Linked DNA regions of Saccharomyces cerevisiae S288C. Each later gene encodes a partner of the first gene's protein in a complex. Each region holds a gene or a part of one and is shown in the gene's direction. Other genes may lie near its edges. The genes, in order: SSU72, YSH1, REF2 and PTA1.

Evidence for each region.
Region 2: SSU72 (region 1) and YSH1 share a complex: the UniProt entries of both Saccharomyces cerevisiae proteins name them as parts of the cleavage and polyadenylation factor (CPF) complex.
Region 3: SSU72 (region 1) and REF2 share a complex: the UniProt entries of both Saccharomyces cerevisiae proteins name them as parts of the APT complex.
Region 4: SSU72 (region 1) and PTA1 share a complex: the UniProt entries of both Saccharomyces cerevisiae proteins name them as parts of the APT complex.

The regions. Positions count from the first base shown.
Region 1 is NC_001146.8:225,260-231,879, forward strand, and holds SSU72 (RNA polymerase II subunit A C-terminal domain phosphatase), read left to right. Parts: upstream 1-3,834; coding exon 3,835-4,455; downstream 4,456-6,620. Other genes in the region: SQS1 (Sqs1p), read right to left, coding at 1-1,840; cysteine protease ATG4, read left to right, coding at 2,111-3,595; ribonuclease P/MRP protein subunit POP1, read right to left, coding at 5,809-6,620. UniProt on the Saccharomyces cerevisiae protein: Component of the cleavage and polyadenylation factor (CPF) complex, which plays a key role in polyadenylation-dependent pre-mRNA 3'-end formation and cooperates with cleavage factors including the CFIA complex and NAB4/CFIB.
Region 2 is NC_001144.5:694,991-703,257, reverse strand, and holds YSH1 (cleavage polyadenylation factor subunit YSH1), read left to right. Parts: upstream 1-3,762; coding exon 3,763-6,102; downstream 6,103-8,267. Other genes in the region: YLR278C (uncharacterized protein), read left to right, coding at 1-3,259; DBP9 (ATP-dependent DNA/RNA helicase), read left to right, coding at 6,428-8,212. UniProt on the Saccharomyces cerevisiae protein: Component of the cleavage and polyadenylation factor (CPF) complex, which plays a key role in polyadenylation-dependent pre-mRNA 3'-end formation and cooperates with cleavage factors including the CFIA complex and NAB4/CFIB. Has endonuclease activity.
Region 3 is NC_001136.10:843,195-850,700, forward strand, and holds REF2 (RNA-processing protein REF2), read left to right. Parts: upstream 1-5,404; coding exon 5,405-7,006; downstream 7,007-7,506. Other genes in the region: NAD-dependent histone deacetylase HST4, read left to right, coding at 1-255; FG-nucleoporin NUP42, read right to left, coding at 375-1,667; MSS116 (ATP-dependent RNA helicase), read right to left, coding at 2,758-4,752; YDR194W-A (uncharacterized protein), read left to right, coding at 4,877-5,029; CAB5 (putative dephospho-CoA kinase), read right to left, coding at 7,080-7,506. UniProt on the Saccharomyces cerevisiae protein: RNA-binding component of the cleavage and polyadenylation factor (CPF) complex, which plays a key role in polyadenylation-dependent pre-mRNA 3'-end formation and cooperates with cleavage factors including the CFIA complex and NAB4/CFIB.
Region 4 is NC_001133.9:58,195-66,911, reverse strand, and holds PTA1 (RNA-processing protein PTA1), read left to right. Parts: upstream 1-5,859; coding exon 5,860-8,217; downstream 8,218-8,717. Other genes in the region: cyclin CLN3, read left to right, coding at 1-1,134; Rho family guanine nucleotide exchange factor CDC24, read right to left, coding at 1,508-4,072; retrograde cargo receptor ERV46, read right to left, coding at 4,349-5,596; GCV3 (glycine decarboxylase subunit H), read left to right, coding at 8,450-8,717. UniProt on the Saccharomyces cerevisiae protein: Essential in pre-tRNA processing. Component of the cleavage and polyadenylation factor (CPF) complex, which plays a key role in polyadenylation-dependent pre-mRNA 3'-end formation and cooperates with cleavage factors including the CFIA complex and NAB4/CFIB.

The DNA.
Region 1 (6,620 bases):
TATCATTGTTCCTAGACAAAAAGGACTCAAATTCATCTTTAATATTTTGAATATGGAGTCCATATGGGTATTTCTTGAGCATATCGTTCGAATTTCTATTCTCCTGATCAATGAAATCTTCTTTGGCTTTTCTTTTCTTTGCTTTGGTTTCTATGCGTTTACTAAACTTACTTTGTAACGTCTCCAACGTTTCTGTATCCAGCGCTAAGGCGTCATCGATGAGTAGCTTCTTCTTCTTACCTTTACCCTTAGTTTCCAAGGACTTGGTTTCAAATGTTTTGAATCTTTCTGTATCATGTTTCAATGTGTATGCAATTAGGTCGTCCAGACCCTCTTCAATGTCGCTATGCACAACCGAGGAGGCCATATCTTCATCATCTTCATAGCTGTCGCCTTCATAGCTGTCACCTTCATCACTCGAATCAGAAATCGGAATATCTGAGTAGGTTGGCTCAGCTGGTTCAATTTTTGGTATAAGAGAATTTTTAATAAAATTCAAATATGCAGGTAATCTATCTTCAGGAAGACCTAACTCGTCTACAACGAAGTCTGTGAGTAAGTCCTGGTCAATCCAATGAAAGTCGTAATCTCCCAGTAATCTGTAACACCGTAGATAATATGAATTGTCTACTCCGCCCATTCTTATATTGGAGACCACTATGTCATTAGTATTTATGACAAAATCTTCTTCTTTGAATCCAAATTCTAACTCTTCGCTAGCAGGAGATGGCAGATTATCATTATTGCCTTCGAATGTTTTGGTACCATTTATTGAAAGACATTTTATATCTTCTGTCAACTGCGGACTAGGGCTTGGTAAAAGATTGTTGTCAGCTCGGGAATTGTGACGTTGGCCAACATAATTAAACCCTTGATCAACCTCAGAACTTGCTGAGGATTCGTATAAAGGTTCACTATTATTCTCTGTTTCTATTTCGTAGTCTAGTTCATCATTGTCCGAGTCGCTAGTATGCATACCATGTAATACGTTGGAAATGTAACCAGCAAATGGATGATATGTCTTATTACCCTTATTTGGAACGTCAACACTAATTTCCTTGCTTTCGTTACCTTCGGAAACGCTAAGTTCAACCTTTCCAATTGTTAAGATAGGATCGAACTCTATCGCAACTTCTCTTGGCCTTGCGATTTCCTCGATACATACTCTTTTTATTTTGGTTAGATCCGGCGATTGCTGAGCCTCTTCATCTACAAAAAACAGGTCACCATCTTCAACTTTGCTTTCATTCGAAGACAGCGAGTGGTCCGTCGAGGGTGAATTCTGACTATCATCATCCTCGTTTTCACTGTCTTCATTGTTAATATATTCAACATCAGAAGTCATCTTTCCTGGTTCTTCAAAAACGTCTGCTTCCCTTTCGACAATTTCTTCACTGTTCTTTGTTTCGTTCTTTGCTCTCAGTTTTTGAATCATATTGTGGGATGGATCGTAAACTTCCTTAGCTTTTACAAATTGCATAGGTCTTTTGCGGAATGCTGCCCTTCCTGCTTGTAGGTCAGTTGAAGAATCATATCGATTACCTGGTCTTAAACCACCCATTTTCATAGAACGGCTCTTGGCATCGCGACCAAAATAATAGTCTTCTATAGTTTTTGGTGATATGAATGCTCTTCCTGGGTTGAAGTCGGCGCCTACATCATCAAGATCACCTTCTCCTAGTGGTATAGAAGAGTTATGCCAACTGTTAGTGGGAGTAGGTTTTTTCTTTATCTTTCTGCCTTGTATGCCTTTAGCATTCCCCCTGCCAGCTTTCTTGGAATTGCTACCACGTGCATGCCTACGTCTGCTTCCTTGATAATGACTATGCCTTTTTGCCATTTTTTTTGACGGTTACAACAATTTATGCTTATATTTGACTCTGCGATTAAATCACTTCTTCCTTCTAGAAACTCTGCGCAGGCCTAATTGTTGTTGTTTTGTTCAGATCTTATTTAATTGTAAAATGTCAAATTTCACTTTTATTCTTTAGGCGGTGACCGTTGCAGCTGCCAACAATAGCGCCTCAAAGGAAAAAAGTAAAAATATACACACAATAACGTTAGTAGATGAAGAATGGACGACTTCTTATCACGTATAGGAGTGATATACATGCAGAGGTGGCTACAACTGTGGAAAATGGATTTGGTACAAAAAGTGTCTCATGGCGTTTTTGAAGGCTCGTCCGAAGAACCGGCTGCTCTTATGAATCATGATTATATAGTATTAGGGGAAGTATATCCTGAGCGAGACGAAGAATCTGGCGCTGAACAATGTGAACAAGACTGTCGATATCGCGGTGAAGCGGTTAGTGACGGGTTTTTAAGCTCTCTTTTTGGTAGGGAAATTTCTTCTTACACAAAGGAATTTCTTTTGGATGTACAATCAAGGGTCAACTTTACATATCGGACAAGATTTGTTCCTATAGCAAGGGCGCCAGATGGGCCTTCACCTTTAAGTCTAAATTTATTAGTACGTACAAATCCGATCAGTACAATAGAGGACTATATAGCAAATCCTGATTGCTTTAACACTGATATTGGGTGGGGGTGTATGATAAGGACAGGACAAAGTTTGTTGGGGAATGCCTTACAAATCCTTCATTTGGGCAGAGATTTCAGGGTAAATGGTAACGAAAGTCTGGAAAGAGAATCAAAATTTGTAAATTGGTTTAATGACACGCCTGAGGCTCCATTTTCGTTACATAACTTTGTTTCTGCAGGTACAGAACTCTCTGATAAAAGACCAGGTGAATGGTTTGGTCCCGCAGCTACGGCAAGGAGTATACAATCTTTAATATATGGCTTCCCCGAATGTGGCATCGATGATTGTATAGTATCTGTTTCATCCGGCGATATCTATGAAAATGAAGTTGAAAAAGTATTTGCTGAGAATCCAAATAGTAGAATATTGTTCTTGTTGGGCGTGAAGCTCGGGATTAATGCGGTAAATGAGAGCTATAGAGAAAGTATATGTGGTATCTTAAGTTCAACACAGTCAGTAGGCATTGCCGGCGGTAGGCCGTCTTCATCGTTGTATTTTTTTGGTTATCAAGGAAATGAATTTTTACATTTCGATCCTCATATTCCTCAACCGGCAGTAGAAGATTCATTTGTAGAGTCGTGCCATACCAGTAAATTTGGTAAATTGCAACTATCGGAAATGGATCCCTCGATGCTCATTGGTATTTTGATTAAGGGCGAAAAAGACTGGCAACAATGGAAGCTAGAAGTTGCAGAATCTGCTATTATCAATGTTCTTGCTAAGAGAATGGATGACTTTGATGTGAGTTGTAGTATGGATGACGTGGAAAGTGTAAGTTCTAACTCAATGAAGAAAGATGCAAGCAATAATGAAAATCTCGGAGTACTAGAGGGAGACTACGTAGATATTGGTGCAATATTCCCACACACAACAAATACAGAAGATGTAGACGAATATGATTGTTTTCAAGATATTCATTGCAAGAAACAGAAGATTGTTGTTATGGGAAACACACACACTGTTAATGCGAATTTAACAGATTATGAAGTAGAAGGCGTCCTTGTAGAGAAGGAAACGGTAGGTATTCACAGTCCTATTGATGAAAAATGCTAGTGTAAGGAATTCACTAGTTCATAAGCATATATACTTGTTTTAATATATTCCCTAAAACTGAGGTATCCAGTTCTTTTGTTCTTATTCGTTTGATCATCCTTTACGTATTTTTCGTCTGCGGCAGTGGAAAGAACTTAAAAAACGAAAGATAATAAAGAAAAAGGCCAGTCGGCACGAATTAAAGACCACCTGTAAGAAGATTAAGACAACGGTGGTATAAACTAGTGTCGAAGTCCAAAATGCCTAGTCATCGCAATTCAAACTTGAAGTTTTGCACAGTTTGTGCATCAAACAACAATCGTTCAATGGAATCGCATAAAGTCCTGCAAGAAGCAGGCTATAATGTTAGCTCTTACGGAACAGGTTCAGCTGTGAGACTGCCTGGTCTATCGATAGATAAGCCTAATGTGTACTCATTTGGTACACCCTATAATGATATATATAATGATCTTTTATCACAATCAGCAGACCGTTACAAGTCGAACGGTTTATTGCAAATGCTGGATCGTAATAGAAGACTCAAAAAAGCACCTGAAAAATGGCAAGAAAGTACAAAAGTCTTCGACTTCGTTTTCACTTGTGAAGAGAGATGTTTTGATGCCGTTTGTGAAGATTTGATGAATAGAGGTGGGAAATTAAACAAAATAGTGCATGTAATTAATGTTGACATTAAAGATGATGATGAAAATGCTAAAATTGGTAGCAAAGCTATATTGGAATTAGCTGATATGCTCAATGATAAAATAGAACAATGTGAAAAAGATGACATTCCCTTTGAAGATTGTATAATGGACATTTTAACTGAGTGGCAAAGCTCACATTCTCAACTACCGTCATTATACGCTCCTTCATATTACTAAACAAAACGGTCAATTACTGTAGAAAAGCATAAGCATTAAGCGGCCCTCATGAATCCTACATTATCCGTGAAATTTCAATACTTTCACAAGTCTTCGATAGCTTCCTAGTTATATTCATTATATAATATTACGTTTCTTGTTGCGGCTCTCTTAAGCACATTATTTGCTTGTTGTCCACATAGCTATTTTTTTATCAAGAAGCTTGATATACAACACACTGTATTTTTAGTAAGCTGGACAATGTCTTGTCTCAATGTAGCGTATAACAGGTTTCATTCCAAAACACATCACCAGATATAGGACTGAAATGAAGAAAATAGAAGCATGAAACTTTAAAAGTTTCAGTACTTTAAGAAAGAAATAAATAGAAAAATGTTCCATTTATTTCTGAAAATAAATCAAAAATTATAAGATCCACCCGTTCCTACCAAGACCTTCCAAAATTTTTCCCATAACGGGAACGAGCAAAGTTGAGACTGCTCAAAAGAGCACATCTTCAAACTACAATCCCGACCAAATAATCTCAACAGCCATACCTTCATCATAAACTTAAGTTCATTCGAATCTGCCGTCAAAAACTAAAATGGCACGCTAGAGAAAAGTAGTCAAAAAGAATGCCTCTACAAAGCTCTCTTTTGAAAGGCCCCAGCTCCCCTAACACCAATTTGAATTTGGTGTCAAACTTCTCCAGGCAGAAGAAACAAAGGGCCCCAAAAATCAGTTTAACCCAAAAATCCCCAAAGGAATCAAGGGATTAACCAATGATTGAAACAAGGGAATGGAAACGTCAGCAAACACGCCTTCCGCGCCGTATGTGTGTGTGACCAAGGAGTTTGCATCAATGACTTCAATGAACAATTATAGTTCAATGATAAATGCTTAACGTCCTTCTACTATTGGAAGCGCATGTTTGATCAGTAGGACTTCTTGATCTCCTCTGATATCTTAAGGTAAGTATGAGGATTTTAAAAAAATTCAAGAAAAAACTATATTTTAACGCTAAAAGTATGTTTGTAAAATAGTTCTATTAAATGGAACTTCTTCTCTCTATTTATACGTCTTGCCAATGGAAAACTCGTCGCCTTAGAAAAAAAAAAGGTGCAAAGACGGGTAATAATTTCATTGACATTTTCAAGAGCTAGGGAATGAATCAATGAGCCCTATGATGGCAGCGTAGATCACCGTATTTAAATTAACATATAATAAGATTTGTTGCCACTTTCAATCTCTAAATGTGTACGTATAGAGTTCCAGGAAGCAAAAAGACCATTATTGCGCGATATGATTGCTATTTGCCCTCTGTATACATAGCTTTATAGGATATCGGTCGTACATATAATTCAGTTCAGTTCATTATACGGATATTTTCGACCACTCCCCCAACCTATAAGTGTTGGTACCTACATTTCTGATCAGTACATACCTAGTTGGTTGCCGGATGGCCGCATGATGATCTATAAATCCGATTCCCATACCATTTCCACAATTTAAGTGGTAGGTGCCGCTGGTAATAAAACCAATCAAATCATGTACCTCTGGAAGTGGAATTTTCAAATCATGATCTTTTCTTCCGTTTGGGCGGTAAACCCCTTTTGCCAATTGTAGCCAATGCTCTAAGTCCTTTTCTGGAACTTGATATATTCTTGCATTGTCCTTTGGGTGACCTCGTTCGAGTAGTGTGCAAGATACAGCAATGATACAACGTGGGAAGAATGTAAGGGAGAATGAAGAACTATTGACGCTAATGCTATCAGGAGTGCGAAATTGACATTTCCGATTTTTACACAATGCAACTGGTATGTTCTCTTCAATCGACAACGACATAGCCTTGGTCTTGGCTTCATAATCTTTGCAAAACTCCAAAACATCATTTACACAGTTGATGTCTCTTACACCCTGAGCGTTAAATTGCCCGGTCTTCTTACTGTCCATCAGTTCTAAGGTTTTATCATTCCGCTGTAAATAATCAATTCCATTTCTCAGTATTTGTAAAAATCTCCAGTCTGAACTGAAAAAATCGCCGATTTCTCCGCTATATGCCGGTAATTTAGTGTTATGGATGTCTTTGATCTTCTCGAAATTAATCCTTTTTCCCATTGGCTTCCTATCCCACTTCGTCTTGGAGGCCTCCTTTTTATAAAATGAGTTTTCTATATAACCCAATT
Region 2 (8,267 bases), on another chromosome or scaffold:
CATAAACAACAATAATGCTATCTGCCAATCCGCGAGCCTTTTGAATGACCCTTTAGAGACGCTGGACTTCACTAAGTGTATTTTTGCCAAATACAATTTGAAAAAAGAGTTTTTGATGTATGACCCTATTTTTGAACTGAATGAGAAGCTGTCACGTTCCTTCTTGGACACTTTTTTCACAAGATTACAATTCAAGTACCCTATCTTAGACGAACAAGAAATCTATACTTTTTATGACCACTACCTCCACAACAAGATTCTTATCCCACCATCTTCTCCCGCCACGTCTTCCGCAGCACCACCGTCGAATTCACATTCGTATTCTGAAATAGAATTTCATTTTCTATCCGGCAGAATGTGGCTTGTCTTCAGCATCAGCGCCTACTTACTGATGACCACAGGTAAGTACAAGGGGTTTCCACCTCACCGATATTTCTCCACCGCTATCCGTCACATCACTAAGTGTGGTCTACATTTGAATTATGTTCAGCAAATAGAACTGTTGACATTGCTTGTCCTTTACATTATTAGGACTGATAGAGATTCTCTGATACTATATGACATAATCAAGGATGTCATGGGCATATCCAAGAAGAAACTTCATCTAAATCAATGGTATCCTAATGATCCATTTGCAAATAAGAAACTGCGACTATTTTGGTGTGTTTACCTGTTGGAAAGAATGATTTGTGTTGCTGTGGGGAAACCTTATACAATCAAGGAGTCGGAAATAAATTTACCTCTTTTCAATAACGACTCTTTTTATACAAAAGGTGTGCATGCGGCGGCTCCATCAACCAATGACCATGGTGTGCAATTCATCAATCAGTCTCTAAAGCTGCGAAGAATTGAATCTCAATTTGTAGAGACTTTACAGCTATTGAAAAACGATTCCAGGTCAGTGAAGCAATCCATTGATCAATTGCCCCTAGTACGAAAATTTTTTGAAGATTTGGAAGTTTGGAGAAAAAGTTATTCCACTCTTGACGTGAAAAATTTCGAAAACGAGACACTAAAACTTTATTACTATAGATCAGTGCGATTGCTTATACAACCATATTTGGAATTTTTCGCCCCGGAGGATAGACTATTTAGAGAATGTCAAGCTGCTGCGGGTCAAATTTGTCAGTTATACAAGATATTCCATCAAAAAACGCTTAATGGTCATTCTACACCAGCAGTGCATACGGTTTTTGTAGCTGGCGTAACTTTAATCTACTGTATGTGGTTAGCCAGGAATTTTGACGATCAAAGGAGGAAGAAATTAGGCGATGCTTCGAAGCATACTAGACCTTTAATCAGTGCAAGTCTCTTTTCGACGATGGATGATTTGAGAGCTTGCTCCGTTTGTTTATATGTTATGACAGAAAGGTCTAATTTTGCAAGAACCTTTAGAGATACTTTCGATCAGTTAATGAATGCCACGGTAGGTAATTTGATTGAAAGATGTGGTCCAGACTCTTCTGAGTTAATTTTCATGGCTAGTAGTGTCGCCAAGCGTACTGAACCCAAGAACATCAATGATGAGGCCAATAAGGCAATTTCATCTGGGGATACTCTTCATGATTCTAACTCCGCAAATGCAGCTAATCTATCCAATTCAAACGATAAAAATATATCTCATAATGGCGGTATGCCGCCTGCTGTGGCTAGAATATTTGGTAAAGGACAAGCTGAAGAGCACGCCGGTTTTGTGGAAAATTCACAAGTGGATTTGGCTGAACAAGAGAAATTCAAGAAGAAGCAAGGTGTTTTAGAAAAGACCTCTGTACCCAAAAGTTTAGCTCACCTATTAACCAAAATGGATGACAGGTCACGTATTTCAAATTCTTCAATGTCTTATACAACATCTTCTTCGTCATCATCTTCTTCTTCGTCATCATCGTCGACATTATCGTTTCCTTCTTCCCAAGAAAAAAACCTGAAAATCAATGTAAACAATGATAACAATGGTATGACCATCAGCAGCGTCAACAGAGAACACAACAATAATCACAACAATAATAATGATAATAATAATAATAATAACAATAATAATAATAATAGTAATAATAATAATAATGTTAATAATAATGATAATGAAAGTAATAGCAGAAGCACTACCAACAACAGCTGCAATAATGGCAACAACAGCCAGTATGTTCGTAACAACAACGTAACTATGGAAAATGATGTAGAAAGGCCTATTCAAGACCAATATATCGTCAAGAAACCAACCAACCAAACAGAGTTTGATTGGCAAGTATTTCAACAGCAGGCCTTTCTACAACAGCAACTAGCTCAGCACAATTTACAAGCGTATCTATCGTCCCTGAACACCGATACTATGACCAATAGAAGTCCTTCAAAATCTTCTAGCATATCTACAGCCTCTTCGCATTCGGATCCGATTCCAATAGCGATGACGCAAAGCCCAACTCCATATCCTCAAACTTCCAATATGCTACCGCAACAGCATGTATCACGACCACTGCCGCAACAACAGCGGGAGCAGCCACAACAACATATTACTTCTCCACAAAGATTCTCAGAAAGCAATTTTACGAATCAATTAAACAATGGTATGATCAACAGTAATCCTCTACAATCTGCAATATTCTCTAACCATACAAGTGAAAATAAGCAATTAAGAGATGTCGAAGAATCAAATTTCAGTACATCACCCCTAAGAGCAGATTATGGCAATAATATTATCTCCTCGATACCAGCGTCATTTACTAGCAATTCAATTCCGGTCAGTGTCAAACAAGCTCGAAATGGCTCTTCTTCGGGCGATATACTTTTCAGCAACGGTGCTCATGACATGATCAACAATATTTCCACCTGGACCAATAACTCCGTTCTAGATGCTTTGAATAGCAAGTCCATACTACAAACAATATTTCCCCAGAGTCAAGAGCCTTCATCTCTGTCCATGGACAAACAGCAGCAACAACATCAACAACAAAATATGTGTTCTGAAAACAATGTAACCGCTAATAATTTTCAACAGACGCAGAATGACCCTTCGTATAACAGAAATTTGTTCATGATGTCCAATCAGGAAGGTGTACAATATAATCTTGACGAAACAGAGAAGAATGGACCTAAAACACAGGTGGAAGCAAACACTAGCGCAAATCTGCATTTCGACAATGTTATTCCTACAGTAACTAACGCAGACATCAGGAAAAAGCGTTCTAACTGGGATAACATGATGACATCTGGTCCGGTAGAAGACTTTTGGACGATTAATGATGACTACGGCTTTTTAACGTGATACTACATTAATATAATAGTATGTACAAACTCATTCCTTTTTTTTTTTTTTTTTTTTTTCTCTTTTTTTTTAAAAGAACAACTAAATCGCTTTTTTTAATTATGATATGGGTCATATCTTATAAGCCTAATCTAAAACACATTTTTTTCTTTCATTTATATTGTTTTTAAAATCAATAAAACTCTTTCTTTCCTGTATAAAGTCCTCTCCAAAAGACTAAGTAGCGTGTTTGCAAATAAATACGGGTAAGCAGTTATTCTGGCCGAAAATTATGAAAAACTAGCGGATCTTTAACAACTTCTACTGCTTCAGCGCAATACATATTGAGATCACATCTAATAGGTTCAAAATGTTCACGGGTATAAGCGTTTATTTCTTTTACCCTTGTTTTCAGTACTTCAAAAGTTACAGCACAAAAGAAACATTGTATTATCAATTGAATTTTGTCCATTGAGGAAATAAAAAGTAACATAATAAGTTAACATTAATAAGTATACGCATATATGGAGCGAACAAATACAACAACATTCAAATTTTTTTCATTGGGAGGAAGTAACGAAGTTGGACGATCATGTCATATATTGCAATATAAAGGTAAAACAGTGATGCTCGACGCAGGAATTCATCCGGCATATCAAGGATTAGCTTCATTACCTTTTTACGATGAATTTGATCTTTCCAAAGTCGATATCTTACTGATATCACATTTCCATTTAGACCATGCCGCTTCACTTCCGTATGTGATGCAACGGACTAACTTTCAAGGCAGAGTTTTCATGACACATCCAACCAAAGCCATTTACAGATGGCTACTGCGAGATTTTGTAAGAGTTACTAGTATAGGTTCTTCATCCTCCTCTATGGGGACTAAAGACGAAGGTCTATTCTCAGATGAGGATTTAGTTGATTCTTTCGATAAAATTGAAACGGTGGACTATCATTCTACTGTTGACGTCAATGGTATCAAATTTACGGCATTCCATGCAGGCCATGTATTGGGTGCAGCGATGTTTCAAATAGAGATTGCTGGCCTTAGGGTGTTATTCACAGGTGACTATTCGAGAGAAGTAGATCGTCACTTAAATTCTGCTGAGGTGCCTCCACTTTCATCCAACGTATTAATTGTGGAATCTACCTTTGGTACCGCTACTCACGAGCCCCGTTTAAATAGAGAAAGGAAGCTAACCCAACTAATCCATTCCACAGTGATGAGAGGAGGCCGTGTTCTACTGCCTGTTTTTGCTTTAGGGAGAGCTCAAGAAATCATGCTTATACTGGATGAGTACTGGTCTCAACATGCTGATGAACTCGGTGGTGGACAAGTCCCAATATTTTATGCATCAAATTTGGCAAAAAAATGTATGAGCGTTTTTCAAACCTATGTAAATATGATGAATGATGACATTAGAAAAAAATTTAGAGACTCTCAGACTAATCCCTTCATATTCAAAAATATATCTTATCTTAGAAACTTGGAGGATTTCCAAGATTTTGGTCCCAGTGTGATGTTGGCCTCACCAGGTATGCTGCAAAGTGGGTTATCAAGAGATTTACTTGAAAGGTGGTGCCCTGAAGATAAAAATCTAGTACTAATCACCGGTTACTCCATCGAAGGAACAATGGCGAAATTTATTATGCTTGAGCCAGATACAATACCTTCCATAAATAATCCGGAAATAACCATTCCAAGACGTTGTCAAGTTGAAGAAATCTCCTTTGCCGCACACGTTGACTTCCAGGAAAATTTAGAATTTATTGAAAAGATTAGTGCGCCAAATATCATCCTTGTTCATGGAGAAGCCAATCCCATGGGCCGTTTGAAATCTGCATTGTTATCCAATTTCGCGTCTTTAAAGGGTACAGATAATGAAGTCCATGTTTTTAATCCTAGAAACTGTGTTGAAGTAGATCTTGAATTTCAAGGTGTCAAGGTTGCAAAAGCTGTGGGAAATATTGTGAACGAAATATATAAAGAAGAAAACGTAGAGATAAAGGAAGAAATTGCGGCTAAAATTGAACCTATAAAGGAAGAAAACGAAGACAACTTGGATTCTCAAGCAGAAAAAGGTTTGGTTGATGAAGAGGAACACAAAGACATAGTCGTTTCTGGGATTCTAGTTTCAGATGACAAAAATTTCGAATTAGACTTCCTTTCTTTGTCTGATTTAAGAGAGCACCATCCCGATCTTTCTACAACGATATTAAGAGAGCGCCAGTCAGTTCGTGTAAATTGTAAAAAGGAGCTAATTTACTGGCACATTTTACAAATGTTTGGAGAGGCTGAAGTTCTTCAAGATGATGATAGAGTAACAAATCAAGAACCAAAGGTTAAAGAAGAGTCAAAAGACAATCTGACCAATACAGGTAAATTGATTCTACAGATAATGGGTGATATTAAGTTAACTATTGTTAATACTCTAGCCGTTGTGGAATGGACTCAAGATTTAATGAATGACACTGTAGCAGACTCCATTATTGCTATACTTATGAATGTGGATTCAGCTCCCGCCAGTGTCAAGCTTTCGAGTCATTCTTGTGATGATCATGATCATAACAATGTGCAGTCTAATGCACAAGGTAAGATTGATGAAGTTGAGAGGGTGAAGCAAATCTCAAGGTTGTTTAAAGAACAGTTTGGTGACTGTTTTACTTTATTTCTCAATAAAGATGAATATGCAAGTAATAAAGAGGAAACTATAACTGGAGTGGTTACCATAGGTAAAAGCACTGCTAAGATTGACTTCAACAATATGAAAATTTTAGAATGTAATTCAAATCCTTTGAAAGGTAGGGTGGAAAGCCTCTTAAATATTGGTGGTAATTTGGTCACACCGCTATGTTAAAAACAGTTACGCATACTAAGTAGACTACTTTATAGAAGTAATACCAAACCAAAATCTGGTTAGAACTGCCTTTTATTGTTTACCTTAATCACTCTTTACGTAATGAAACCTAGAGATGAAATTTTAAAAATTTTTTTTCACGAACATAAAGAATAACTCTTCTAGACCATCTCATCTCATCTCATCTCATCTCATTTCATTTCGATTCTTCTAATTTCTTTCATTGAGTAAGAGCCTTTTGTTTTGGCTGATAGTTATAGTCAATCTACAATTTATCTCACAAAAGAAATAGACTAAGCCAAAACTGCAACGAAAGATCAAAAAAATGAGCTATGAGAAAAAGTCTGTGGAAGGCGCTTATATTGACGATTCTACAACGTTCGAAGCATTTCATCTCGACTCTCGTTTATTACAAGCTATTAAGAATATAGGATTTCAGTACCCAACATTAATTCAATCACATGCTATTCCTTTGGCTTTACAACAGAAGAGAGATATTATAGCAAAGGCCGCTACAGGTTCCGGAAAAACTTTGGCATACCTCATTCCTGTAATTGAAACTATCCTAGAATATAAAAAAACAATTGATAACGGAGAGGAAAATGGTACACTAGGTATTATACTTGTTCCAACAAGAGAACTGGCTCAACAAGTATATAATGTTTTAGAAAAACTAGTCTTATATTGTTCAAAAGATATAAGAACTCTGAACATATCATCCGATATGTCTGACTCAGTTTTGAGCACTCTACTTATGGATCAACCAGAAATCATAGTTGGTACACCTGGTAAATTATTGGATTTGTTGCAAACAAAGATTAATTCTATCTCATTGAACGAACTAAAATTTTTAGTAGTTGATGAGGTGGATTTAGTGTTAACATTTGGTTATCAAGATGATTTAAACAAAATTGGAGAGTACTTACCATTGAAAAAAAATTTACAAACATTTTTGATGAGTGCAACCCTAAATGACGATATACAGGCTTTGAAACAAAAATTTTGTCGTTCTCCAGCTATTCTTAAATTCAATGACGAGGAAATAAATAAGAACCAAAACAAATTACTTCAATATTACGTTAAAGTCAGTGAATTTGACAAATTCTTACTATGCTATGTCATTTTTAAACTTAACTTAATCAAGGGTAAAACATTAATTTTTGTAAATAATATTGACAGAGGATATAGGCTCAAGCTAGTTATGGAACAATTTGGTATCAAGTCCTGTATTTTAAACAGCGAGCTACCCGTTAATTCGAGGCAACATATTGTTGACCAATTCAATAAAAACGTTTACCAACTATTGATTGCCACAGATGACACCGAGTACATAAAAGAGGAAGATGACGAAATAGAAGAAGGGCACAATACAGAAAATCAAGAAGAAAAAAGCTTGGAAGGCGAGCCTGAGAACGATAAGAAACCAAGCAAGAAAAAGAAGGTCCAAGTGAAGAAAGATAAGGAATATGGTGTTTCTCGTGGTGTTGATTTCAAAAATGTTGCATGTGTCCTCAATTTCGATTTACCTACGACGGCTAAGTCCTACGTGCATAGAGTAGGTAGAACTGCTCGTGGCGGAAAGACCGGTACTGCAATTTCATTCGTAGTCCCACTGAAAGAATTTGGTAAGCATAAGCCATCAATGCTACAGACAGCAAAGAAGGATGAAAGGATTCTTTCACGAATCATCAAACAACAGAGCAAACTTGGATTAGAATTACAGCCTTACAAATTCGATCAAAAGCAGGTCGAGGCGTTCCGTTACAGAATGGAAGACGGTTTCCGTGCTGTTACTCAAGTTGCCATTAGAGAAGCTAGGGTCAAAGAGTTGAAACAAGAACTATTGGCAAGTGAGAAGTTGAAAAGACATTTTGAGGAGAATCCAAAAGAGCTACAAAGTTTAAGACACGATAAAGAATTACATCCAGCAAGAGTGCAACAGCATTTAAAGCGTGTTCCAGATTACTTGCTTCCTGAATCAGCCAGAGGAAATGGAACCAAAGTCAAGTTTGTTCCTTTCCACAATGCTAAGAAGCGCCATTCACATAAAAAGGGAAGAGTCAGTAAGCCAAAGAATGGTAAAGTAGACCCGTTGAAGAACTTCAAATGATTAATAATATTGATATTTATTCTATATTTTATGTAAAAATCTACTTATTAAAAAT
Region 3 (7,506 bases), on another chromosome or scaffold:
GAAGGTGATTTTATCGGTGAAATTGCCAATAATGACTTAAAGAAAAGAATTGATTGTTTGATTATTGTTGGAACGAGTTTGAAGATTCCCGGAGTGAAAAATATTTGCAGGCAGTTTGCGGCCAAAGTCCATGCAAACAGGGGTATTGTGTTATATTTAAACACCAGTATGCCGCCTAAGAATGTGCTAGACTCTTTGAAATTTGTAGACCTAGTTGTACTGGGAGATTGTCAGCATGTTACCTCATTATTATAGAAAGTATTTGTCCTACCAAAAAAGGTTGGAGATAAAATTAATGCATTTTTCATTAGATATATATATATATTCATATATATTGTTTAAGTTACCATTTTGTATGTTTTTCTTTGACCTTACTATGCAACCAATGCAGGTGGTGGAGGTATATCAGGGACAAGGCCTAGTTCAAACTTGTTTGCTCTGAATATTTTCAGTGTTTCCTCTGCGAGATCGGCCAATTCTAGAATACCGTCCTTTTCAGAAGATAACCCTTGAACAAATCTAATTTTTCCGGTGGCCGTATTAGCGTTGACATTAGTAGCATTCATCTGTTGTTGTCCAAATCCAAAAGAGGTTGCGTTACCATTGCTCTTCAAACTTATGTTCGGATCTGTGTTTGGCATTGTTTGCCCAAATGAAGGGTTCGATTGCGAGACTTTGTTGGCATCGTTTTGTGGTGTAATTCCGAATGAAAACCCTTTATTACCAAAAGAAGATTGAAAGTTGCCATTGGTATTTTTATTGAGGTTAGAAGCAGAACCAAAGGTGCCCCCAGAACCTCCGCTAAAAGGAGATTGATTATTCGTCGTTCCGAATGCGCTACTGCCCACGTTATTGTTGTTGTTAGCTTTGGAGGTTGTAGTACCAAACGGCGAAGAACCAGCGCCTGCTCCGCTCTGTAGATTACTAAAAGGTGATTTGTTATTACTATTAGTTCCAAATGTGCCAAATGGGGATACTCCTGTCCCACTGCTTGTACTTGTATTTTGAATAGTACCAAATGGCGACTGGGTATTAGTAGCTGCGCCGAAAGTCGGTTTGCCAAACGCTGACGATGTAGATGATGCATTTTGTGATGCGTTTTGTTGCAGTGAACCAAAAGGAGAAGTTGTGGTCAAGGGCGTGTTTGACGCAGCACCAAATGCGGAGTTATTACTATTACTAACCGAACTAGAAGGGATAGCAGTTTTGTTCGCTCCAAAAGCTGGTTGACCAAATGCAGAGCCCATTGAGCCAGGACTTTTACCAAAAGGATTACTTGTCGCCGCCATAGCACCAAAACCTGTTGATCCAAATGACGGTGCTCCAAATGCTGACGTAGTAGAAGGCGGATTAACATTGATGGGGGCGCTAGAACCAAATGCTGGTGCTCCAAATGCTGACGGTTTAGCCGCATTACTGGTGTTCCCAAAAGCGCTAATTGACGTATTGCCAGTATTGCCTGTATTGGTACCAAACTGGGGCATTCCAAATGCTGAAGTGGTGGTTCCTCCTGTCATTGTGTTTGCTGTTCCAAAACTAGGTCTTCCAAATGCACTTCCTCCCATGTTATTGGTACTAGCAGCATTATTTGTGAAAGGGTTGATACCACTTGTATTAGAAAGATTAGGCTTAGCACCCGACGTGAATGGGTTACCGAAAGCTGACATTACAGTTGAGTCGTTGCTCGGGTCGAAATTTAATGATAGCTTGATGAGCTTTTGCGTTAAAGTACAACAGTTCAGTGTTATAGTACTTTAAACATTGTGCGCTCATCTATTGATTCACTATTTTTTTTCAAATACCTTGCACCCTCAGTCGGCGTGTTTCTTGATATGCAGAATTAATATATTTCTAGATGTCAGTATATTAAGGTTAGCCCTTTGAAACGTATTATGATGTCGTTACCTTCAGCGTCGTGGTTTAGGTTTCATGTCTTGTCCTCTCGCGAATACTTTTATTTCGAAGCTAATTTACTATATAAAGAAGGTTGAAATCGCATGATAAGCTAAACAGCGTAAATAGAATTGCCGGAGCAAAATTCGTATAAGACATAATTTCCCTCCAGGCCGTAGCCAGATTAATGCTCAGTACACTGTAAAGAATTTTTTGTTTATTTTTAAGATAAGACAAGATGTCATTGATATTATTGCTAGATCACTAACAAATGGTATTTATTGATTTTTCTTTCGCAGAGCGGCACTTTAACTAGGATTTAATCATAAAAAAAAAAGTGATTGACACTGTTATTCAGTTCTGGACTATCGTATAGACTATTTTCATTGTTAATAGGCTCAGCTGTTCATAAAATATGTGAAAATTTTTCAACGATTACCAAGCCCACGATTGTCTCGTTGGCAATATTCAGAATGAAGTTTTCGTAATATGGCTATGTCCGTGATCAATCGCCTAAGACACCCTGACTTTTCAAGTAAATTCTCAAAAGCTTTCTTCCATCCGTTTAAATAAGAATTACAATGTTAGAATTACTTTTCCTTTGAGAGGAGGAAGAGCGAAAGTAAGAATGGAGGTACCGGTCGTAAATAAGCATTGACGAATAAATATACCAGTAGGATCTTCGTATAGTTATCATTTTAAGAGAATAGGAGAAGAAAAAAAATTTTTGTTTAATATTTATATACTAGGTATTTACACGTGAAAGTATTGAATCAAGATGGGGTCTAAAATACAGGCGTCTTAATAGAGGAATTGTTATTTAAAATACAACCCACATCTCTTGGTCCTCCTTTTTTATCTTTTCTAATATATGTTGCTGTTTCTACTGGAGTAATTATTTTTATCATTACTACGGGAGAATGAGCGTCTATTGTTGTTGCTGCGTCTAAACGGTTCGTCATCGTAATCTCTATTTTGGCTCCTATTATTATAGTTTTTGTTGCCTCTGAAAGAAATTTCTGAATCATCATCATAATCGTAGGACTTGTTATTTCCATCTCTACTACTATAGTCTCTAATTTCAAACATTGCCTTACCAATTGGACTACGGCTCAAACCTAATTTATCTAAAAACCTTCTGGATACTGGAATCTTTAATTGAGGATCATTTAACAGTACACCATAAGTGGAAGCAATTTCAGGAAGTATGCGCCTTTCAGAAAACCTGTATTCCTTGATACAGGATCTGTAGGATGAGATTAAACTTATTACAATATCTGATATGTCTTCCGGTTCTTCGGTCACTGCCTCTAGGACCTCAGATTTTATTTCTTCACTGGGCTCATATTTTTCTTGTTTGGCAATGACTATATTTTTTGCATCTTCCAACTCTCTAACAAATGGCAATTCATCTTTACAAATGAATAGCACAGAAGATCCTTCTTTCCCACTTCTGGCTGTTCTACCAATTCTATGAATATAATTAGCCAACTCAGATGGAACACCAATTTGCAAAACTTCGTGGACGTTTGGGAAATCCATACCACGGGCTCCCACATCCGTACAAACCAAAATACCGGATTCATCTTTTTTGAATCTTTTAACTAAACTTGTTCTTTTATTTTGAGTAATTTTACCATGAAATTCCAAAATTGGTAAATCTTTCTTAAATTCATTCTTTAAAATACTGCACAAAAAGGATGTGAATTTAACAGTTGGTGCAAAAATAATGGCTTTGTAATTAGAATCTCTTTCCTTTATTTGTTTCTTTATATGCTCCACAGCAGCAAATATACTATTGGCAAACTTTTCTGAAATGACGACAGACTGATCAATTCTTTCATGTGCTTCAGGTTCATTCTTATCTACTGTGTCTAAAAAGAGACATTCTTTTTTATTCATGATATTGTTTGCCAACTTTTGTACTTTGTCGTCCAGAGTAGCAGAGAACAACAAAGTCTTGATATTATCGGCTGATTTGGAGTTCTTTTCATTTAAAATACCAGAAATAGTTTCTAAATCATCCCTGAATCCAATTTCTAGCAATCTGTCAGCTTCATCTAGCACTTTGTAATCTACGAACCTAAAAAATTTGTTGGAGTATTTTTCCAAAACATCAATCAATCTCCCTGGAGTGGCAATTACAATGTTTGGTCTCAACTTATTCATTTTATTCATAGCTGCCCTGAAGTCAGTACCACCAACTAAAGAGACACAAGCGTACTTTTTCAAGCCATAATTCATATCGTGGATTTTTTTCACCTCTGCTTCGATTTGCAAGGCCAAATCTCTTGTTGGTGCGACAATAACAGCTTTTACCATATATTGAGAATCGAACTTCGTATTTATCAAATGCTGGAAAATTGGAATCAAGAAGGCAAATGTCTTACCTGTACCGGTTTTAGCTCTTGCGATAACATCATGGTCTTCACTGGATAATATTGGTTTGATAGTCTTTTGCTGTACAGGAGTTAAACCGGGAAATTCCATCCTGGTAATGGCTTTATGTATTTCTTTATCAAGGACTCCTTCCTCCAGTAAAGAGTCCAGCGTTACTTCTTTACTATTATCTTCTTTTGGGACGTGAATTAGTTTGGAAAAAGTGGTCTTATCAAAGTGCACTTCATCATCGTCTTCTCTAGACCTTGTCCTTGGGCGAGAATTGAAACGGGAGTTTCTATACCTGTTACTGTTGTTGTTTCTCTGATTCCTACCAAAATTTCTTTGATCTCTGTTTCCATCATTGTATAATCTTCTTGAAACAGCCCAAGTAATATGGTTGCAATTCGAGAGAGCTGCTAATAAATTTCTGCTTGCAAGAACAGGTGTGCGACCTTTTATCAATATAGAGGTCAACATTTATCAGCCTAACGTGCAACTCTGGTATTTTCTTGCCACTCTGAGACACCATAGTGGCCATCAATACTTCCCTTCTTTTTATAGGAAAATTTTATTCTTTCTATAATATCACTACAGACGGAGAATGAAACAGATGATGATTGAAGCATCCATAAGTAAAGACACTTTGAGGTTGCTAATTTGCTTTTTTGAAATAAAACAGTGCCATATATCACTCCAGCCTACTTGTTATTATCAGAATTGGGTACGGTATTCATCTATATATTACCAGTTGTAAATCACGATATATCACGATACACGACTCTCCGGCGCCAGCGTTTTTCGTCAGTTTTTCTCAAGGCGGTATAAAAAATCGATGATATTCGATTGAGGCACTTGTTAACAAGCATACACTGTTGGAGGCAGAACAAAACAAGCATAACTCTTTTGTACTGTATTGTACTCTACCGCTCTGTATCACGTCGGCACACCAACGGTTTCTTTTGGCGGGTCTATTATATATATTATATATACTTTTATCAAGACATCGTGTGAGTAAGTGAGGTTAAAGCTCAAAAACCTACAAGCAAAGGCACAAGGAAATCGAAAGGACCAAGAAAGGAAAAGAAAAGAAACGATACGATAAGTAAAGACACTGTGGAAGAATTGAACAATGTCAGCACCTGTTCCTCAATTAGTAAATATTTCTCATGCCTTGCAAGCTTCCACTATCCAGCAAATTCGTTTGGATATGGTAGATTTTAATAAAGATTGCAAATTATCTTCCATTCAACTGGCAAGAATTGACAAGTATATCGATTCTTTGCAAGCGGCTTTGAATCAGTTTACCAAAGATAACTTGCACATAGAACGGAAGGAAAAGAACGTGACTGAAGCAGATATACAGCTGTATTCTGGCTTAAAATCAATGTATCTAGATTATTTGAACCAGCTAATTAAACTAAAGCATGAGAAACAACACCACTCTACACCGCCCATCGCTAATGATGTCTCCCTGGACTTCTTCGTTAACCAATTGCCTAAGTTTTCTCCCGAGGAAAGGAAAAATTACATTGACAATTTAATCCTGAATAAAAATAGCCATAATCGATTATCTAAAATGGATGGTCTGGTAGATGCAGTCATCAATTTATGCGTCTTGGATACTTCCGTTGCTGAAAATGTACGATCCTATATGAAATTATTAGATACATTGGGTTTCCAAAAGGGTTCGAATAGTACTGGTACAAAGGCCAACCTCAAAAAGAAATTGGCTAGTTCGAAAGCAAAGATAAAGGATTCAGAAAAAGAAAAGGAGAAGGAGAAGGATAAATCAAAAGTCAAGATGAAAACTAAATTAAAACCTTCTCCTTTGCTCAATAACGATGACAAAAATTCTTCTCCATCGCCTACTGCATCTACCTCTTCAATGAAGAAATTGAAGTCGGGTTTATTCAATAAAAATGAAGCTAAGTCTACAGAATCTCTACCTACTTCTTCCAAGAAAAAACTATCATTTTCTAAATATCTGAACAAGGATGACGCAGATATGACCAAGCTTGGGACTAAACGGTCAATAGATGTGGATTTCAAAGTCAACCCCGAAGCATCCACGGTGGCTTCTAATATCATATCTTCGTCAACGTCAGGATCGTCAACCACAACGGTAGCGACTCCTGCTTCTTCAGAAGAGCCCTTAAAAAAAAAAACCAAAATATCCGTGCAAGACTCTAATGTACAATCGATTTTGAGAAATGGTAAACCGAAAAAAGCACGCATAAGTAGCATCAAATTTTTGGATGATTCCCAACTAATAAAAGTTTACGGTGACGATCTACCGAACCAAGGGCTACAAGTTTCTCCTACTCAATTGAAAAAAATTCTGAAACCATTCAAGGAGGGGGAACCGAAGGAAATTATATTGTTCGAGGATATGTCAATCAAATTAAAACCTCTTGATTTGATGTTTCTGAAGAACACAAACAGTGATGACTATATGGATATATCCGAGACTAAAGGTGGCCCAATACATTGTGAAACAAGGACCCCGTTGATCTATAGAAAAAATTTCAATCATTTCAACCCGGACTTGAATAAAAGGCCGCCAAGAGAACCCATAGAATTCGACTTAAATGGAAATACGAACTCAACCCCGACTATAGCAAAGGCTTTCGGTAAAAATAGTTTATTACTAAGGAAGGACAGAGGTGGTTTGCCATACAAGCATGTCCCCATAGTAAAAAGAAATAAATATCCTCCAAGACCAGTACACTAAGCTATGACATGCTGATACATAAACATGTAGTATATATACTCATTTTATATAATGTAATTATAAGATATCAACCTTATACCGCTGAAGACTTTTTATTTTGAAGTTTTTTCATCAGTAATCTGGACATGACGATGCTACTGGCACTTACGGCCCCAAAAGGTGGGAAATACTCCAAAACAGTTCTTAATTTACTAGGTTGGATTTTTTTTACAACACTTTCAATCTGTTCGTATAAGTCAACCAATGTGCTGTTATTTTGTAGGATATAGTCAGATCTTGCCATCCTTTCTTCAGTGCTCATTTGACTATTTAGCCTGTTTTTTGCATCTTCTTCACTAAGTTCAGGATTTCTTGTCATTAATCTTTCTAGTTGCAATTCTTGCGTACAAATTACGCTTACAGTCACTCCGCATATTGAATCCAGATTTCCTTCAAATAAGAGTGGCACATCCAATACACACATTCTATATCCCTTCAAGTAATAGTAGCCAATTTCTTTG
Region 4 (8,717 bases), on another chromosome or scaffold:
TCCATCTGTCAGTCGGCAACATTCGACTCCTACATCGACATCTTCTTGTTCCAATCTACGTCCCCGTTATCGCCTGGCGTTGTCCTTTCTGCCCCTTTGGAAGCTTTCATTCAACAGAAACTGGCCTTATTAAATAACGCTGCTGGTACTGCTATTAATAAATCGTCCTCTTCTCAAGGCCCCTCTTTGAACATCAACGAGATCAAATTGGGTGCCATTATGTTGTGCGAGTTAGCTTCCTTCAATCTCGAATTATCATTTAAATATGATCGTTCACTAATTGCGCTGGGTGCAATTAACCTCATCAAATTATCTTTGAACTACTATAATTCAAACCTTTGGGAAAATATCAATCTGGCTTTGGAGGAAAACTGCCAAGACCTAGATATTAAATTGTCAGAAATCTCTAATACTTTATTGGATATAGCAATGGACCAAAATTCTTTCCCCTCCAGTTTCAAATCAAAATATTTGAATAGCAATAAGACATCTTTAGCAAAATCTCTCTTAGACGCATTACAAAACTATTGTATTCAATTGAAACTGGAAGAATTCTACCGTTCACAAGAATTGGAAACCATGTACAATACTATCTTTGCTCAGTCCTTTGACAGCGATTCATTGACTTGTGTTTACTCAAATGCTACTACTCCAAAGAGCGCTACGGTTTCATCTGCGGCCACAGACTATTTCTCGGATCACACTCATTTAAGAAGGTTGACCAAAGATAGCATTTCTCCACCATTTGCCTTCACTCCAACCTCATCTTCATCCTCTCCATCTCCATTCAATTCCCCTTACAAGACTTCAAGTTCAATGACGACCCCAGACTCTGCATCACACCATTCACATTCAGGTTCGTTCTCTTCTACCCAAAATTCTTTTAAAAGGTCACTGAGCATCCCACAAAATTCAAGCATCTTTTGGCCAAGCCCACTAACTCCCACCACCCCATCTCTAATGTCAAATAGAAAATTATTACAAAATTTATCTGTGCGTTCAAAAAGATTATTTCCTGTTAGACCCATGGCCACTGCTCACCCATGCTCTGCCCCCACCCAACTGAAAAAGAGATCAACTTCCTCTGTGGATTGTGATTTTAATGATAGTAGCAACCTCAAGAAAACTCGCTGAAACGACAAAAAAAAAATGCATTTAACAACAAATAAATTAAAATTTGCAAAGCAAATACGTTAACATACATTAATGATCTTTTTTTCTTTTTGTTTTCACAGGACTCATTATTTCTTTAAATATACTTATATTACATTTGCATAGAATTACAAAAAAAAAAAAATTATAAAAACGCACAACCTAAAATACGATTACTATCGTTTTTTCTCCTTACTTCCTCTAGTCACATTATACATTTTTTTTCATCCTTCACAGACGTATCTTAATACTAAGTGTGGATCAATATAATGGGTATAGCTTGAACATCTGCCCCTCTCTATCTAATGTTTTTTTCTTGAATTATTTAGTATTTGCTGTATACTAGTTTTATTTATCAATACAGACGAATGTTCAAGAATTTCTCATTGTTTTCCGCCAACATTTCTTTAGCAACATTCCAATCTTCATCGCTACCTAACACAACAAAATCCCCATCTTCGTCCTGATATTTGATCTTGGTGATTGGTGAAATGTTGTTATTATGTGTATTCGAAATTTTAGAATTGATCGCCATTATCAAGTCGTCAAAATTCCAAACTTTTTCTACCAAAAGTGTGAAGATCTCGCTACTAGAGGTATTATTAGAGTTGTTATTATATGATATCCTGAAGAGTATGGAAGATTCTGGAATAGAGTTCTTGAAATTTTCTGAAATGGATTTAATTTCACTTTCGAAACTTGATGAAGTGGTCCTCCGTTTAGGCAGGACATCCGAAACCCTTTTCATATGAGAACTTGAGAAAGAAGCCATACTATCGTGTGTCTGGCGGCTGTTGTGATGATTCGGTGTATTCATAGTTGTGGTGGGTGACATCATTGAAGATGATTTGGCTGTCGATGAAGTCGTCGATGTTGAAGAGTGATGTCTTGCCTTAAACTGCTCATTTTTCAGATCATGAATCAACTGTTGTAAACACGATGACCAATTATCTCTTGTTTCCTCATTTTTGAATTTCAAAAGGAAATTACCTTGCTCTTTTATGGATTCCCATGTTATATTTAATGACCGGTTGTTTTGCGGTATGATTTGATTCAGATTCATTATCATAATTCGACCTCTTAGATCCAGCTTAGGTTCGTTAGCGGACAGCTTGAATAATGAGGATGATGATGAATTGTTGGAATTGTTGTCACTACTATTGGTACTGGAATGTATTATCGCCGCTGCTGAAGACGAAGATAAATGGATATTATTACTGCTACTACTATTGCTATGCCTCTTATGGTAACTGTGGTGAGGGCTGCCATTGTTGTCCGTTATGTTCGAGGCGGAGATTGATGCTGAGGTTGAGGATTTCTTCTTAAGGATTAGTGATGATGCAGATTTCTTAGTCACTACCTCTGAAAAAAGGATGATGATTTTTTCAAAAAGATAAACCTCAAATTCTCTTTCAGGTTCCGAGGAGCTATTTGTTGTTGAAATGAACACTTTATCGAAATATAATAACTCACCGAACTTGGAAATTCTATAACCCTTCCAGTTGACCACTCTACCATAAAGTTTCTTCACCACTTGATGATTTTCTGTTCTTCTTTGATTTTCGTTGATACTTCTCGCAATATTTTTAGAAATATCTAAAGCAGCTTCAAGTTCTTTCGTATTATTATCGTCACTCGATTCAGCAAGCAATTCTTTGACCAACAGGGGATATCTACAAAGCCTTTGCACGGGTTTATAAAGGAAGGATTGCAATTCCAGTTTATTGTTAATTATGAACCGCTGCGATTCATCAACCCTCATCTTGTGCAAAGTTGAAGAGAGAAATTCGATGGCTGCATTTTGGCCAATAGACCAAGGCTCATACAACTTAAAAAAATGTTTGGAATGCATGAAAAGAGCCCCGATTCTTTGCTTGGAAGGTTCTACTAAAGCATTTATTTCCAAGGATATTAGAAATCTTCTTTGAAAATCTATAGCATCACCCAAATTAGGGAACAACATGTACAACTCTTCAGACGTTATTAGATTGCTGTCTAATAACTGCTGTCTATATTTATCCAAAATTTCCAAATCGTGAACATATTTTCTTTCCGTTGCAACGAATTCCTTGATAATTTTAACATACTCGTTATGCTTCTTCGAAGACTGCTGAGGCTGATGTCGGTGTTGGTTTTCTGCGTTCATGATTTGCTGTGTCTTACTCTTAGAGGGGAAAATAGTAGGGCTGGAATTCATTAGCGTTTCTACTACTTCTAGCACTTTGACCAGCTGGGAAGTAGAGTTGGCAAAAACGTCGGATATAGTGAAAAGCTCCTCATCGTTAAATGCAAAGTGTTTCTTGCAGCCCAATATAAAGTCATAAATGGATTTTTTACAGACTTTCAAATCGTCAGATGCTATTACCGGTAATTTAAATTGCGGCTTCACAGAGTTGAAAAGTATACAGAGGGGCGCACCTTGTTGAAACAGCTGTGATAGTTGTGTCACAGGGTCGCAATCCATGGTAATGGGCAAAATACCCATACTAAAAGTCAGTAAAGTGTCCTCCATATTTGGGGTGGCCGAGGGATTCGAATTCGTGTATGATATACCTTCCATCGACATGAGACTGGTAGCTGTGGAGATAGAGCTAGACCTTAAAGTTGGTGCCAAGTCGCTACTGTCCCGGTTAGCGCCATTGGACTTGAGCAGTTCCTGATGCTGCTTTTGGGATAGCAAAAGAGATTGCCTTTCACTCAAAACCTCGCTCGATTGGTAGGCCAATTGTAAAAAAGGTTTGAGTTGAGGTAACACCTCCAGTCTTTTCCGGATGTTTGCGCATATATGGAACAGTGAGTCCTGTTCCGTGACAGGCTTGTTCATGACATTTTGCATGGGTATGGAGATGGAAGTTGCACTTGGTTTTGGTTTCAAATCGGATAAAGATGTGCCCGAGGCAAAACGGGTTTGGATCGCCATGATCTCTCGGGTTGGATTAGCAGACAGGTCTTGATAGGGCTAGGCAACAAATGATAACAGCAATGGTACTCTTCTGCTATCCTACCATAGCCACATTCTTGTTCTGTTTCTACCTTAAAGCTTCTGTTTTCCACTTCTTCCCACCAGTGCGTCGTTCTTCGCGATTATCGTACAATATGATATTTGTACAAGTAGTGATATACCAATTTCTATACTATATATATATATTATGTAGTAGTATGTAGAAAGGGCTCTTCCCTATGACAGTCTCTTCCTCTACTGGCTCTTCTTGCCCCAGATCGATCTCTGTGCTTTGTAGAATAGCTTGTCCATGACAGTGCCCACAGCTAGGACACCACCAATGCTGGTGATACAATTCAAGATGAAGCCCGACCAAGTCTGCCCGTGCTGTTCCTTATTGATGACTTTCAATGGAGACATTTCGAAAAAGACGAACATACCAGGGATACCACCCCTAACGTGAAGTGTGTTTGGATGATCCTTGTCCCTTCCACCGGCAAGAGGTCGGGAATGAAAAGTGGCGCTGAACTGCGCGGTCTCAATGACAACATTATCCAAGTACTCATATCTGGTGGGGACAATCTTGGCAAAATACGAGAACTGGTGAAAGTGTGTGTTCCTGTCCGGGAACACCTGGCGTCCGTCCAAGGGAGAAGTGGCAACTACGGCGCCGCCGTGGCGCTTATCGTTTCCTAACAACTTACTGTGGGACTGGATCGGCTTCCCAAAGCTCAAATGATTGATGATGTGGTTGAAGTTCAAATTCGAAGTCTTGTCGTACAAAGAAGTATCATGAAAATGTCCATATGCATTCTGGTAGGGTTTTCCAGGGGCAAAGTGAAGATTCCCCTGAATTCTGTTAATTTGTGCAGAACCTTTGATCCTGCAGCCTTCATTCAAGTGCTCGTTAATCTTGCTGACATAGCCCTCTCTTTCACACTGCTCGATATTCTTCCCGTCGAAAAAAGCCCAGCCTGCCTCCAAGTATGCTGATCTCACTGCATCACAGTCTTGGCAGCAAACCTTCTCTTCCTGTGCTAGATTCTCATTCTGCGACTGATCTTTGGCACCGTAACATGGCCCACAATAGTTAGGATCGTTATTAACCGGCGCGGTTCCGTCGCCGTTCCCACCCACATGCAACTCAGTAGCATCTCCCACGGGGCGACCCTCGCTATTCAACCTAGACATCGTGAACCCTGCGTCAAGAATGTCTAGTTGCATCTCTCCAGAGTCGTCCATAATATCGAGATTCACCAGGTCACATGGCATCGATGGAAATGTCACATCCATATTAAGCTCCAGCTTTGCGTGTCGGTCACGGTCCACCACCAATTGTGGCCTTGTTACCACAGAATTGAACTGTCCCCACTCGTTCACCAGCAGAAATAACGTGGTCAAGATGCACGATAAAGTGATCAGCCCGCCGGCCCTGGTGCGGACTCGTACGTCCTCTTCGGTCTTAGCGAATGCGTCCAGCGACAGCAACGTGGACCTTTTCATGATGTCTATTGTGTCTAGCTATGTGTGTTATATCACTGTCCTACTCCGCATGTATACGAGACATAAAACTAGCTTTCCTTTATAATGGCGTGGTTTCCACTCCATCTTGATGGAAAATCGCCGTTCTGATGTTCAAGTCGTATATAGTGACTTGATCTAAAAGTGAAAAGTTGCCATATTTCGATACCTTTTAACCGTTAGTACTTGACTGAACAAATGGTTAAATCGTGGCAAGAAGCATATAACTACCACTAAGCAGCGCAATGTCATCTGCAGAGATGGAACAATTGTTACAGGCCAAGACACTGGCCATGCACAACAATCCAACGGAGATGCTGCCCAAGGTGCTCGAAACTACGGCATCCATGTACCACAACGGTAATCTCAGCAAGCTGAAGTTGCCTTTGGCCAAGTTTTTTACACAGTTAGTTCTAGACGTGGTGTCGATGGACTCTCCAATTGCGAATACTGAGAGACCGTTTATTGCTGCTCAATATCTGCCACTACTTCTTGCTATGGCGCAATCCACCGCGGACGTACTAGTGTACAAGAATATCGTGCTTATTATGTGCGCTTCATACCCGCTGGTGTTGGATCTGGTTGCTAAGACATCAAACCAGGAAATGTTTGATCAGTTGTGTATGCTGAAGAAGTTCGTGCTCTCGCACTGGAGAACTGCATATCCTTTGCGTGCCACCGTTGACGATGAAACGGATGTCGAACAATGGCTGGCGCAGATTGACCAAAATATCGGCGTGAAATTAGCGACCATCAAGTTCATATCTGAGGTCGTGCTGTCGCAAACTAAATCACCCAGCGGCAACGAGATTAATTCATCTACCATCCCGGATAACCACCCTGTGTTGAACAAACCGGCTTTGGAGAGCGAGGCTAAGAGGCTTCTTGATATGTTGCTAAACTACCTAATTGAGGAACAGTACATGGTCTCGTCCGTTTTCATTGGTATCATCAATTCTTTATCCTTCGTCATCAAAAGAAGGCCGCAGACAACAATAAGAATTCTTTCCGGGCTGTTGCGTTTCAACGTCGACGCCAAGTTTCCCCTAGAGGGCAAGTCTGACTTGAACTACAAACTATCCAAGAGATTTGTTGAAAGGGCGTACAAGAACTTTGTGCAATTTGGGCTAAAAAATCAAATCATTACAAAATCCCTCTCATCCGGATCAGGGTCATCGATCTACTCCAAGCTGACCAAGATTTCTCAAACTTTACACGTTATTGGCGAAGAGACCAAGAGCAAGGGAATTTTGAACTTCGACCCTTCCAAGGGCAATAGCAAGAAAACGTTGTCCAGGCAGGACAAACTAAAATACATCTCACTATGGAAAAGGCAATTATCCGCGTTATTGTCTACTCTAGGGGTGTCCACAAAGACCCCCACGCCTGTGTCCGCACCTGCAACGGGCTCTTCAACCGAAAACATGCTTGATCAACTGAAGATATTGCAAAAATACACCCTCAACAAGGCTTCACACCAGGGCAATACTTTTTTCAACAACTCACCCAAACCAATCAGCAACACCTACTCATCTGTGTACTCATTGATGAACAGTTCGAACTCCAACCAGGATGTGACCCAGCTACCCAATGACATACTTATCAAGCTGTCCACAGAGGCCATCTTGCAAATGGACAGCACGAAACTGATCACCGGATTGTCTATCGTTGCTTCGAGGTACACGGATTTAATGAATACGTACATCAATTCTGTACCGTCCTCGTCATCATCAAAGAGGAAATCCGACGATGATGACGACGGCAACGACAATGAAGAAGTTGGAAACGATGGCCCAACGGCTAATAGCAAGAAAATCAAAATGGAAACAGAACCACTAGCGGAGGAACCAGAGGAGCCCGAAGACGATGACCGAATGCAGAAGATGCTTCAAGAAGAGGAAAGCGCCCAAGAAATCTCAGGAGATGCCAACAAATCAACTTCTGCCATTAAGGAGATCGCACCCCCCTTTGAACCTGACTCATTGACGCAGGATGAAAAACTAAAGTACCTCTCAAAGCTGACCAAGAAACTGTTTGAATTATCCGGTCGCCAGGATACTACCCGGGCCAAATCTTCGTCTTCCTCCTCCATATTACTGGACGATGACGACTCCTCGTCATGGTTACACGTCTTAATCAGATTGGTTACGAGAGGAATCGAAGCACAAGAGGCCAGTGACCTGATTCGTGAAGAACTGCTTGGCTTCTTCATCCAGGATTTCGAGCAACGTGTCAGTCTGATCATTGAATGGCTCAATGAAGAATGGTTCTTCCAAACCTCGCTGCATCAAGATCCCTCTAACTACAAAAAATGGTCCTTAAGAGTTCTCGAGTCTCTGGGTCCATTCCTTGAAAACAAACACAGACGATTCTTCATCAGACTTATGAGCGAACTGCCCAGTCTTCAAAGCGATCATCTTGAGGCACTGAAGCCTATCTGCCTGGATCCGGCAAGAAGTTCCCTTGGTTTCCAAACGCTAAAGTTTCTCATTATGTTTAGACCCCCAGTGCAGGACACTGTTCGCGACCTGCTGCATCAGCTAAAGCAAGAAGATGAAGGCTTACACAAGCAGTGCGATTCACTGCTTGACAGGCTAAAATGATCACAACCATTACATACATCATATATACGCATGTGTAGGGTCTTCCTTCAACTTGCAAATCAATGTTTTATCTATCATTCTGTGCTATAGGGACCTCGCAATTTTGACACTTCCGTAAGGAGTCATTCAGCGGCGGAGTCACTTTCGCTAACTCTTTCTTCTATATATACAGACCAACAAACAAGTATCTAATGGGAAAGGGAATCTCCACATGAAGCATACCACATCGACAATGTTACGCACTACTAGACTATGGACCACCCGCATGCCCACTGTGAGCAAATTGTTTTTGAGAAACAGCTCCGGCAATGCCCTAAACAAGAATAAACTACCATTTTTGTACTCATCCCAAGGACCTCAAGCCGTGAGGTACACTTCCCAACATGAGTGGATAGCTGTGCATCAGGACAAGACTGCCTTTGTCGGAATTACAAAATACGCCACTGATGCCTTAGGGGACGCTACCTATGTTGAGTTGCCAGAAGTGGGCACTGAGATTG